Arabidopsis thaliana: one gene and its partners. The protein of the gene in region 2 interacts with the protein of the main gene of each other region in a pairwise test. Each region holds a gene or a part of one and is shown on either strand. Other genes may lie near its edges. The genes, in order: RAB8, PRA1.B2 and ATFP8.

The links.
Region 1: the proteins of PRA1.B2 (region 2) and RAB8 interact in a two-hybrid assay, tested with the Arabidopsis thaliana proteins (one large-scale study listed by BioGRID).
Region 3: the proteins of PRA1.B2 (region 2) and ATFP8 interact in a two-hybrid assay, tested with the Arabidopsis thaliana proteins (one large-scale study listed by BioGRID).

The regions. Positions count from the first base shown.
Region 1 is NC_003074.8:19,877,170-19,880,926, reverse strand, and holds the start of RAB8 (RAB GTPase homolog 8), read left to right. Parts: upstream 1-2,134; 5' UTR 2,135-2,232; coding exon of another isoform or gene 2,233-2,385; 5' UTR 2,386-2,537; exon of another isoform or gene 2,538-2,660; 5' UTR 2,661-2,662; coding exon 2,663-2,735; intron 2,736-3,163; coding exon 3,164-3,236; intron 3,237-3,324; coding exon 3,325-3,425; intron 3,426-3,526; coding exon 3,527-3,592; intron 3,593-3,745; coding exon 3,746-3,757. Other genes in the region: AT3G53611 (uncharacterized protein), read right to left, coding at 2,233-2,385. UniProt on the Arabidopsis thaliana protein: Involved in membrane trafficking from the Golgi to the plasma membrane.
Region 2 is NC_003071.7:16,863,867-16,867,539, reverse strand, and holds PRA1.B2 (prenylated RAB acceptor 1.B2), read left to right. Parts: upstream 1-1,952; 5' UTR 1,953-2,164; coding exon 2,165-2,806; 3' UTR 2,807-3,094; downstream 3,095-3,673. Other genes in the region: AT2G40390 (neuronal PAS domain protein), read right to left, coding at 1-155. UniProt on the Arabidopsis thaliana protein: May be involved in both secretory and endocytic intracellular trafficking in the endosomal/prevacuolar compartments.
Region 3 is NC_003074.8:3,709,962-3,713,718, forward strand, and holds the start of ATFP8 (Ras-related small GTP-binding family protein), read right to left. Parts: upstream 1,657-3,757; 5' UTR 1,437-1,656; coding exon 1,423-1,436; intron 1,342-1,422; coding exon 1,269-1,341; intron 1,157-1,268; coding exon 1,109-1,156; intron 1,025-1,108; coding exon 977-1,024; intron 904-976; coding exon 832-903; intron 640-831; coding exon 484-639; intron 151-483; coding exon 47-150; intron 1-46. Other genes in the region: AT3G11740 (LURP-one-like protein (DUF567)), read left to right, coding at 2,466-2,675, 2,951-3,181, 3,285-3,428. UniProt on the Arabidopsis thaliana protein: Protein transport. Regulator of membrane traffic from the Golgi apparatus towards the endoplasmic reticulum (ER).

The DNA of each region.
Region 1 (3,757 bases), on a different chromosome or scaffold from region 2:
TCTACAAGTCACAAAGATCTCTCGGGGGAACAAAAAAACTCGTTCATGGCTTATGCAAACAGATTAAAGACACCCAATCCCAAAACCCTAGAAACCTTCCGAGGAAGAACAAATCCGATTGAAAGAACATTTCGAAATCCGTACCTGAACAAATCGACAAATCTGAAATCTCCCGAGATAAAGTGTCGTCGAATGAAGAAGAAACGCAAGCACAGATCTCAAGAAGGATAACCCAAAGGAGAGAGAGAGAGAAGCAAGTGTAGAGAGAAAAGCTAAAGGAGAAGAAAGCTGTGACTAAACGCGTTCCCGCTCTATGTCTCTGCTTCTGTGCTATTTGAAGACTCCATTTTTTAGTTTAGAAAGAATATTAATATTTTTCTGGAAGGAAAACAATAAATTAAATTCTCTTTAATTTTGGAATATGTCCGGACCCGAAAGTGTCAATGTGGCAAGATTTTATTGGATGATGGAAAAAGAGACATAGACGGAATTCCTAACGGCGGTGGGGTCAACGTAAGGTTTGGCTGTCTGATACACGTTAAAGTGACTCGGATTGCGAGGAGTCCACGTTAAGTCTCCGTTAGCTACTGTTAATTTGGGGAATATGCTGGAGAGAGTTGAGATCAGGTGTTGGCGAGTGCACCGAAAATTCGTGTTCAGATTTATGACATCGCAATTTCTCTGTCGGTGGATTACAAACTGCAATCAAAAGAAAAGCATATGTTAATCTGTCAAGTGAATATTCGTTTTTATTTTCTTTCTATACATAATGTATATGGATAATTCAAACAAAAAGATGTGTAAAATGATAAATATGGGTGTTTATCGTATTTTATATAGTATTAGGATTCATGCAAAAATGCATGGATTGTCTATGATAGTAATTTTGGTAACTATTATTTTTTTATTTTTTTTATTTTTTTTTTCAGCTGGTAACTATTAAATTAGTAGAATTTAAAATAATTTATACTTTTAGGATTCCTATGATAGTATAGGATTTCTATACTATTTTGATATTAGGAGTTTAAAATAAATTACTAACTTATTATTATTTTAAATTATTAGATTTATACTTTTAAAAGTATTAGATATTATATGGATTTTTGTTGTTTACAGCTCTTTTTTTTTTTGGTATTTGAACTCGTATTATAATCGGTTACTGGCATTGATTGATACAAGTCACCAATTACCATCACCGTAAGCACCGTTTTATGATTAATTTTTATGATAAATATACACGTGCATTTCAAATAATTACCATTTTCATATCGGAAGGTTTTGGATAATCTTTCTGACTTTTTGTATGGTAAGAGTTTAATGAGATTGGGATAAAATTGGATAAACATGAATCTCATTGTAAATTGGAGTTAAAAGCATTAATAAGACGATCACATTAACGTAATAATTGCAGTCTACATTCAAAACAAATCTGAGAATGTATGCTTTAACTTTTTCCTTTAATGTCAATGGAATCACTCTTCGTATCCATTTAGAAAAGGAAACTAGATCGTATAATTTAGGAAAGGCTTACGTCGTGTCGTGTCATTCCCTAATTTTTTTGGATAATAGTTAGATATCGGAAATAATTGGATAAATTTGGATTAACATAGAACTAAATAGTGTAAGAGTAAAAAAAAAACATTAAATAAGACAGTATAGGGGCTTAAACTTTTTTGTTACCTCAAGGACGATATTTTAAGTAAAGTTAGCTTTCCTTTAATGTCAATGGAAACACTCTTCGTATCCATTTAGAAAAGGAAATGGATCGTGTAATTTTAGGAAAGGCTTTCGTCGTGGCATTACCTCATTGGTCGTGAAGAAGTGAAGATGTGGACTTGTCCGCAGCGGATGATCGGTGGATGGGGTTGAGTAAACGAATGCTCATGCAGTACATTAGATGCTACGTAGGATCATTGTAGATTCCTATCCACGCTTTATTCTTTGGATGATTATTTGCTTAACACCGACGACAATATATTCAAATTTCCTCAATTTGTCAATCGCTCTCTTTTTGCCTAACTCTTATTATTATTATTATTATTTTGCCTAACCTTTGCGTCCCCTTGGAGTTAAATAATTGAGTTTATTTACAAGTGAAGGGATTGAAACAACTTTTTTTTTCCCAGAGCTTAATCGCAACGCAACTCAGAACGAAATATAGAAAAATACATATACTGTATGAATATACTTCATCAATTCTGTAACCTGTTGGGTTGGATCAGTAAGAATAAACTAAACATTTAGTGGACACCAAATCATAAATTTAGCACACAAAAATAAAACTAGCCCAAGGCCCATGGTTCGAAATTTATCAAACCGTAACCGAAGACCACGCGCCGGACCAACACAGATCTCCACGAACAAGATCCAACGGTCCAGATCCATTCCCTCTCCTTCTCCCTCTTCTCTCTAACCAAAAAAAAAAAAAAAACTTCTGAATCTCCGAAAAAAGCCAATCGGGGGAAGAAAAAAATTCAACGGCCGTCTGGTTACTGTCTTGCTTGCTTCCGACGATCTATCTTCCCCGAGTAGATTTGGTACTTCCTTCTTTCGATTTTTAGGTTCTACACAATTGATTCTCGATTTAAATTTTGTCTCCAGTTTTTGCTCTCTTTGCTTACCAGTGATCCGTTTCTCGGAAATTACTTGATTTTGTTAAGAAATGGCTGCTCCTCCTGCTAGAGCTCGTGCTGATTACGATTACCTCATTAAACTTCTGCTGATCGGAGACAGCGGTAGGTTTCTATATCATTCAGATCGTAATACTACCTTTTGTTCCCTGCATTTTATTCAATCTCTATCTTTTTGTTGATTGATTCTCTCGATTTTTGTTGTTGTTGATTACAATTTAAGTTTTGTTTGAAGGATCTTGAGACAACAGTGATTTGAGTAACACATCTTACTCAGATTTGGATCTCATTTCAACAATTGTGAGCATATGATGTTCATAGTCTTCTTAGTTTGGTATTAGGATGGAGGAGAATCACAAATGAATGCTGTAGCTATTTAATTATATTCTCTAGATGTTAATGCCGCAAATGCTTTAGCCAAATTGATTTGAATATTCCTTTGTTGATTGTTGTAAGTAAGTGTTTCACTATGTTCCAGTGGATTATTCTAATGTCTCTGTTTTATCTGACTTTTGCTTTCTTTCATGTACCAGGTGTTGGTAAGAGTTGCCTTCTCTTACGTTTCTCAGATGGCTCGTTTACCACCAGTTTCATTACAACTATTGGGTATGATGTCTTCATGCAATGACACTGTGTTATCACGTCCTCTATGTAGTTCACTGTTCTTACTCAAGTTGCTTTTTGTTTTTGACAGGATTGATTTTAAGATACGGACTATTGAGCTCGATGGGAAGAGAATTAAGCTGCAAATCTGGGATACTGCCGGACAGGAGCGGTTCCGCACAATCACAACTGGTGTGTTTTCGATCTTGCTTTTCGTTTTCTCTTTTTGCTGTTATTTATGCATCTTTGCCTTCCTCGCTGGAATACACCTGAGTAGTTTGTTCTTATTGCAGCGTACTACCGTGGAGCCATGGGGATTTTGCTTGTGTATGATGTGACTGATGAATCATCTTTCAACAGTAAGTACTCTCTTTACTTTTTACTTGCAGTCCTTATGCCACCCAACAAGCTCTTGCAACGGTTCTAAACTTTATATTTTTCCATTTGCTAGCTTTATTATTTTCTACTCAACTAATTTGTTCTTTTTCATCCTTTGTTTTCTTCAATTCCAGACATCAGGAATT
Region 2 (3,673 bases):
GGAGATTGAGGGGTACGAGTAAGAGTGAAGTTCAAAGATGGGTGTGATGAATTTGGAGAGCAAATACACATGGACATTAAATTTCCTTTCCATAGAGAAAGAGGAGGAAGAGTTTGAAGCCAAGCAAACGCATCAGGTGTGTCACAAGAAGCCATTAGAGCTAATATTGAATATCTAGTTGTTGTTCTAGATATGTGTGGTATAGAGAGTATATGATTAGAAGACTAGATTTATCATTTATATATAGAGAGAACATTTTAATGAGTGGAAGAAAAGTAAAGGAAGAAAGATTCGCTTATTTTTTTCAAAAGGTAAGCTAAACAAAATCATGAACTATTTTACGTAAACCAGAAAATATAGAGCTACGCACGAACACGAGACGTCTCTTTAGTAAAATATTGAAAATTTGAAATGTGATAATGATTAAGAGTCCTGCAAATTATGAGATAACGTACAAGGAAAAAGGTTTAGATGATAATTAGAGTAGCTAGACCGTTAAGAGGGATGTAATTAAATTGATAAAGTACGTGCTATTCAAGATTCTTCCATATGTGGATTTCAACCCGAATTTCCAAGAAATATTCTTGATTAGGCCGACGAATATTGTTATTCGATGCCTCTATTCTACTCAATAATGTTTCTTCGTCTTTATTTAGTTTACTAATTATATGTTTGATACATAAATAAATACGAATTATGGAGTGTGTTTGTATATACATAAATACGAATACGAATTATGGAGTGTGTTCAAATAATTATACATAAATAAATAAATACGAATTATGAATTATATACAAATATAAATTATATACACTTGAAGCCTGACGATTACAATAGCAGCTGATCATTATCTTCGGGGTGAATTCAAATTATGGATTGTGTTTGATTTCCTCAAGTCTTAATTTTCATCTACTTTTCAAACGACTAATTAATAGTGGCTACATAACTAACGACTCGATGATAAACACTCCAAAAAGCAATCAATCACTTGAGCAAAAGTTCAAAAGAAAACACTCCAAAAAGCAAACGCAAACACCAAACAAAACAAAACTCAAGTAGAGTTTTAGATAAAGCAACAGTAGAATTTTAGAAAAACCAAATTAAAACACCAAGTGTTTATGCCAAATAAATTGGCTAGACGAAGCAAAACAAGAACACATTATTGATAGTGTAGATTTGGAGTTCACTAATTGATAGTGCAACGTTTGAGTTCAACATTGCCTAGGCTGAGTGAGAATATCTTATTGTTTCCATCCACGAATTTGAGAAAGTAACTACATGTTACCTTTACCTTCTTGTTATTCTCGTCAACCTCATTTATCTCGGTCATCTCAACATGAACAAGTTCCGCAAACCTCCATTTGTTTTCATTATCTCATTTTGATTGTCCCAATCATGTCAAACTCATCTTTTATCGCTTGCACCCCCTTCTTCATGTAGTCTCCACCACCGGTTGCATAGGCGTCTTTAAAAATGCTCTCGAGTTCCCTCCAGTTGTCTTTGCCCCAAGTTCCTGGTGTCTCAAGACACCATAATTCATATATAACTCATAATTCATATTTATTTATGTATATAATTTGTATTTGTATATAATTCATAATTTGTTTAGCTTCAAGTGTACATAATTTGTATATAATTTAATTTCACAGTTTATAGATATATTTAGTAAACCTTTATCATTCATGATCAATTGATCATATGATTGTTTCATTTGTTCAACGAGAACACTCATAGGGTGGGAAATGAGATGATAATTATTGAAATGATCATATAAACAATTGTAGGAAGTCGTAATTTATCTGCAAATAAAATTAGAATATTATTAACTACACTAATTTACTAGTTTGTGTTGTGTTATCCTTGTAACATCATATAGATACAAACCACTGAACCAGTAAGATTGTTTGTTTGTTGAAAAAAAAAAAATGGTTTTATGAACCAATAGTGGAATATATTGGGCCTCTTCCAACATTATAGACCCATCTAAAAATTGCTATTAACTCCAACTTAATATATTGGGCCTATTCCAAAACATTATAGGCCCATAAAATTTAGGCCTTTAGAATATCTAACACGGTTTTGCCGCAACTTCAGTTTCCACTAAAATCGGAACAACAAATTCACACTCTCTCCGCCGCGCACAGACTCACCGACACCACCAATAATGTCTTCTTCTCCGGCGATTCTTCCCGTCACCAACCAGCAAGCAGCCACTCAATCTCAACCTCCAATCAATTCTCACGCCTTCCGTACTTTCCTCTCACGCCTCTCGTCCTCTCTCCGCGAAAGCCTCTCTCAACGCCGTCCATGGCTAGAACTCGTAGATCGGAGCTCCTTCGCTAGACCTGACTCTCTCACCGATTCCTTCTCCCGGATCCGTAAGAATCTCGCTTACTTCAAAGTCAATTACTCCGCAATTGTCTCGTTAGTCCTTGCTTTCTCCCTCCTCTCGCATCCATTCTCGCTTCTCGTCCTCCTCTCTCTCTTAGGCTCCTGGATGTTTCTCTACCTCTTCCGATCTTCAGATCAGCCTTTGGTTCTCTTTGGTCGTAGTTTCTCAGATCGTGAGACTTTGCTTGGTCTTGTTTTGACTACGATTGTGGTTGTGTTTATGACGAGTGTTGGATCTTTGTTAACATCGGCGTTAACGATTGGAATCGCGATTGTTTGCTTACATGGTGCGTTTAGGGTTCCTGATGATTTGTTCTTGGATGAACAAGAGCCTGCTAATGCTGGTTTACTCTCGTTCATTGGTAATTCTGCTGCTACTTCTGCTGCTGCTTCTGTTGTTGCAGGACGAGTTTGAGAAGCTCGAATTTGATGATTCTGATCCTAGAGAACAAACGAAACCTGGATTCTCAGGGTTTTTAGTTATGTTTTGAGTATAGATTCGATGAAGATCTGTAAGTGTTAGATCTAAAGATGCATTGTTGTGTTGTATTCTTCAATTTCGTCACAATTTAGAAAATTTGGAGCTGATCCTTCTCAAGTATTGTAAGATCTCATTTACCTTAAATCAATTTGATACTCTTTGCCTTCATCACCATATGTTTGAGTTAGATTTAGACTAAACCAGTGAAGATTATAGTTTGACCAAAGTATTAAGGATTAAACAAACAACATGTAGTTTAACAACATACGTGGTAGATGTAAATCTTGTAACTAGTTATGTCTATGTCTCTCTAGCTACCAACTATTTTATTCTTCCACAAGTTTCCTCTATCTCGAAAGCGAACAGCCAATACTGTGTACGAATTTGCTGATAGTAAGAGGGTTATATCATGGGAAAGTTTCCCACTGGATTTACATGTTTGGCCAATTTGACAAAAACGACACACGTTTAGTTTGGGGATTTTGTCTTAAAAACTCGGCTGCCAAAAACAAACTGAAGATTCGGTCACCTGAATTGTCTTTTTCGGTCAAAGTCTCACTGAGTTGCTTCTTTCTTAGATATAATATAGGTGACCTGTTTTTAATCTTCATAACATGAGATATATTTTCGTGGAATGAGTTGTGTCTTGTGAAATCTTTTTTCTTTGGTTTTAATGTTAAGAATGTCTTGTGAAATCTTTTCCTGGATTCTAATTATTGGTGAGAATGTGAGATAAAAACAACACTTAGGTACTAAGTTACTAACCATTAAACATGAAGATAAATAGACAAATCCTCTTGT
Region 3 (3,757 bases), on a different chromosome or scaffold from region 2:
CTTCGCAGAAAAAATTATGGCGAAAGATTAAAGATAGTGAACATACTTCTTTTTTATCTCGCCAGCAATAGTTAAGAATGCCTGTTCAACGTTAATAGAATCCTTGGCACTGGTCTCAAGAAAGGGAATTCCAAGCTCATCTGCTAAGGCCTGCAGTGATTTTGAGTAGATGAAATGTAAGAAAACCAATTCACAGTTGTATCAGGAGTAACAGCTGCTGCAAAAATAAGCAATTTCTACTCGGTGGATTCAGATCATCTAGCTTTGGGAATTTGGTCAGAGATCATCTACATTCATAGCCGTAAATTCTGGTATAACAATCTCAATGGTTGTAATATCATCACATGGTTAAAGATATGCGAAACCATGAAATGATCAAATGAGGAAAGGGGAAAGTACCATGCAAAGGATGTTATGCATAAGATAGAAGCAAAATCATAAATGGAAAAATTGCTGGGAACTTAACTAGGGATGTGAGCTTACCCTTCCAGTTTCGGTGGAAACAACTTTGCTTTCAACCATATCATTCTTGTTACCGATTAAAAGCTTGCAAACACTCTCATTGGCATATCTATCGATCTCACTCAACCACTGCTTCACATTGTTGAAGCTTTCCATCTCAGTACAGTCATAAACAATCTGTTGCAATTATCATCATTAAGGTTCATCACTTAAAGGGTGGATTACAACATTAAAATGATTCATATTCCAACATTACAATACCAATCTCAGACTAAACCACTTAAAATGAGAAATGGAAATAGGGACATAACACTAGTCTAGGTAAGCCAAAAAAAAGCAAGTAAGAAAGCGAATATAAAGATTGCTCACAATGATTCCATGAGCTCCTCTGTAATAGCTGCTAGTGATGGTCCTGAAACGCTCCTGTCCAGCAGTATCCCACTAAAAGAGAGCAGCAACAGTAAAATTGAGTAAACACAATCATCCAAAACATATTATATAATTGAAAACTCACAATTTGCAGCTTAATCGTCTTCCCATCCTGCTCAATCGTCCTAATTTTCTGCAAAACCAACCACATTATAAGTAAGTTTGGGATAAAACAATCTCGATCATGTATGTAAACAAGGTCAAAGAATGAACTTACGAAGTCAACACCAATGGTGCTTATGTAGCTGTCAATGTAAGCATCATCCTAGAAATAGCAACAAATCCCAAAATCACGAAACAGTACAAAAGAAGAAACCTAACACGAGCTAATTCTCGACGACGGAATCAATTAAGAATCAAAATCAAGTCAAACTCACAGCGAATCGGAGAAGAAGACACGATTTTCCAACAGAGGAGTCACCGATCAACAAAAGCTTGAACAGATAATCGCTACAACAACAAAAAATCGAAATCGGTGTGAGTAAAATCGAAAACGAAAGAATGGCTCTCAAGGAGGAGAGAAACACTTACTACTCGTTGCTCATGATTTAGCTGAAGACTGCGTTTCCGAGATTTGATTTTCCAAGATGAGAACAACTTTCCGGGAAAAAGCTCTTTTTCTCTATAATATAAGAAACAAAAAAAAAGAGAGGTTTGGGTTTAGGGGGCGTGTCAATCAATTTACATGAACATTGAACCCCACGACTTCTACTGGATTTTTTTGTTCCCAGTTTTTTTAATATTTGTTTAATTCCTTGTTGTTTTTCCCGAGACAATAAAGAAGCTTTGACCTTGTCTCACTGATTTCTTTACGTGTGTGTGTCTTCTTATTTGGGCTTTTTGATAAATGGGCCGAGCTCAAAATCTTGTCTATCTAACTTAACCGTCGTTAACGTCCTGGCCCTGTTATTAAAGGTTTGGATTTTATTACTCATGTATATGTCTCAATTTTTATTTTTATTTTTTTAGAGAAGATAATTTTACATAAATTTGATTTATAATCCGTGATCAAGATGTGAGGAATTAAATATAATGAAGTATTTAAAGCGGATTAAAAAGGTATATTGAAAAAGAAAAGAAAAACTTTGATTGAATATGCATGGATTTTCCAATTTTATATGACAGTATATTTTATCAACAAAATCATTCTCTTTTTCATACTCCATTCATATCATTTTTAATTAAGTCATATTAATCCTACCAAAAGTTACCTTCTAATTTTACGTTTCTTCTAATTTCCTTTTCTGGCAAAAAAGAAGATATTTCCTCAATTTATAATATTTTTTTTCCATCAAACTATTTTTTTTTATATAACCAAAAAAAAAAAGTGTAGTAACGCTAACGTGTTTGCAGCTTGCAACTTGGCTAGCAGATTTAAAATAAGATAAGTTCTAAAAATAAACAAAACATATATAGCCAAAAACACAAAATTAAAAACACGAAGATTTGTTTCACACAATACTTGGAATATCCTAATTATAAATAACTAAAAAGATTGAGAAACGAACACAAATCTCCACCTTATACAAGAATCGTAAAAGAGAAAAAAAAAACAGAGAGAGATCTTCAAAAAGATGGCGATCGTTAGCCCTAATTTCTGTGCACCGTACCCTATCGAGTTGGGAATCGTACGGAAGGTGATGACTTTAACCGATGGTAACTTCGCCGTCACGGACGTTAACGGCAATCTCCTTTTCAAAGTCAAGGAACCTTTGTTTAGCATCAGCGACAAAAGGATTTTATTGGACGCATACGATACTCCAATCTTGACTTTGAGAGAAAATGTAAGTATACGTCTATCAACTACAATTCTTTATAACTTGCATGGAGAGGCACAATTTTTTCATGGTGATACAAAAAAAAAATTTCATTATGCAAATCATATATACACAAACATGCTCTTATAACTTGCATGGAGGTACACTTTTTCAATACGTCTATCAACTAATTGTAAATAATATCAAAATCATCATCACTCATTCGAGTATGTTAAATCGTCATAGATCATCCAATAAAATCTGATCCACAACTTTTTTTTCTTATAACATAAAAATTGTAGAAGGTGAGCTTGCATGATAGGTGGCTAGTATATAGAGGGAAGAGTACAGACCAAAGTGATCTATTATACACATTGAAACGATCTTCAATGATTCAAATAATGAAGCCAAAACTAGACATCTTTTTGGCTCATAATAAAGAAATGAAGATTTGCGACTTCCATGTTAAAGGAAGTTGGATCGACCGGTCTTGTGTCGTCTACGCCGGCAAATCTGATGCCATTGTTGCTCAGGTAATTACACTGATCAAATTGTCTGTAAATTGTATAAACCGGACTAGCTAGTTATATGATCGTGTTAATTGAGTCATTGTTGTTGTTTTGTTGTTTTTTTCAGATGCACAAGAAACATACGGCACAAAGCATATTAATTGGGAAGAGTAATTTTTCGGTTACTGTCTATCCGAATGTTGACTTTGCTTTTATAGTTTCTCTCATTGTAATCCTCGATGACATTAACCGAGAAGATTCAGAAGACTAGATTAAGTTATCAACTAATTTCTTTTTGTGCGTTGCAAATCTAAATAATACTCGAAAACATAGTACAGTATATGTTAATTATTACAATATTTTTAGTGATTTATTTCACCAAGGCCTATCAATTTATATCATTATAATAGTGAAACCGTATTTAAGAAAATGTGCGAAAGACAAATCCAAACTTTTTTGTGGAGGTAGACAAACATCTTCAGGTATCAAAAGTCTCAAAACTTAGTTTTACCATCTCTGAAGTTTCAGCCATTGGAGATTCCTTTAATAGAATCTAAATGGGGGTGGATAAAGAAATGATATGCCAAAGTGATGCGTCAA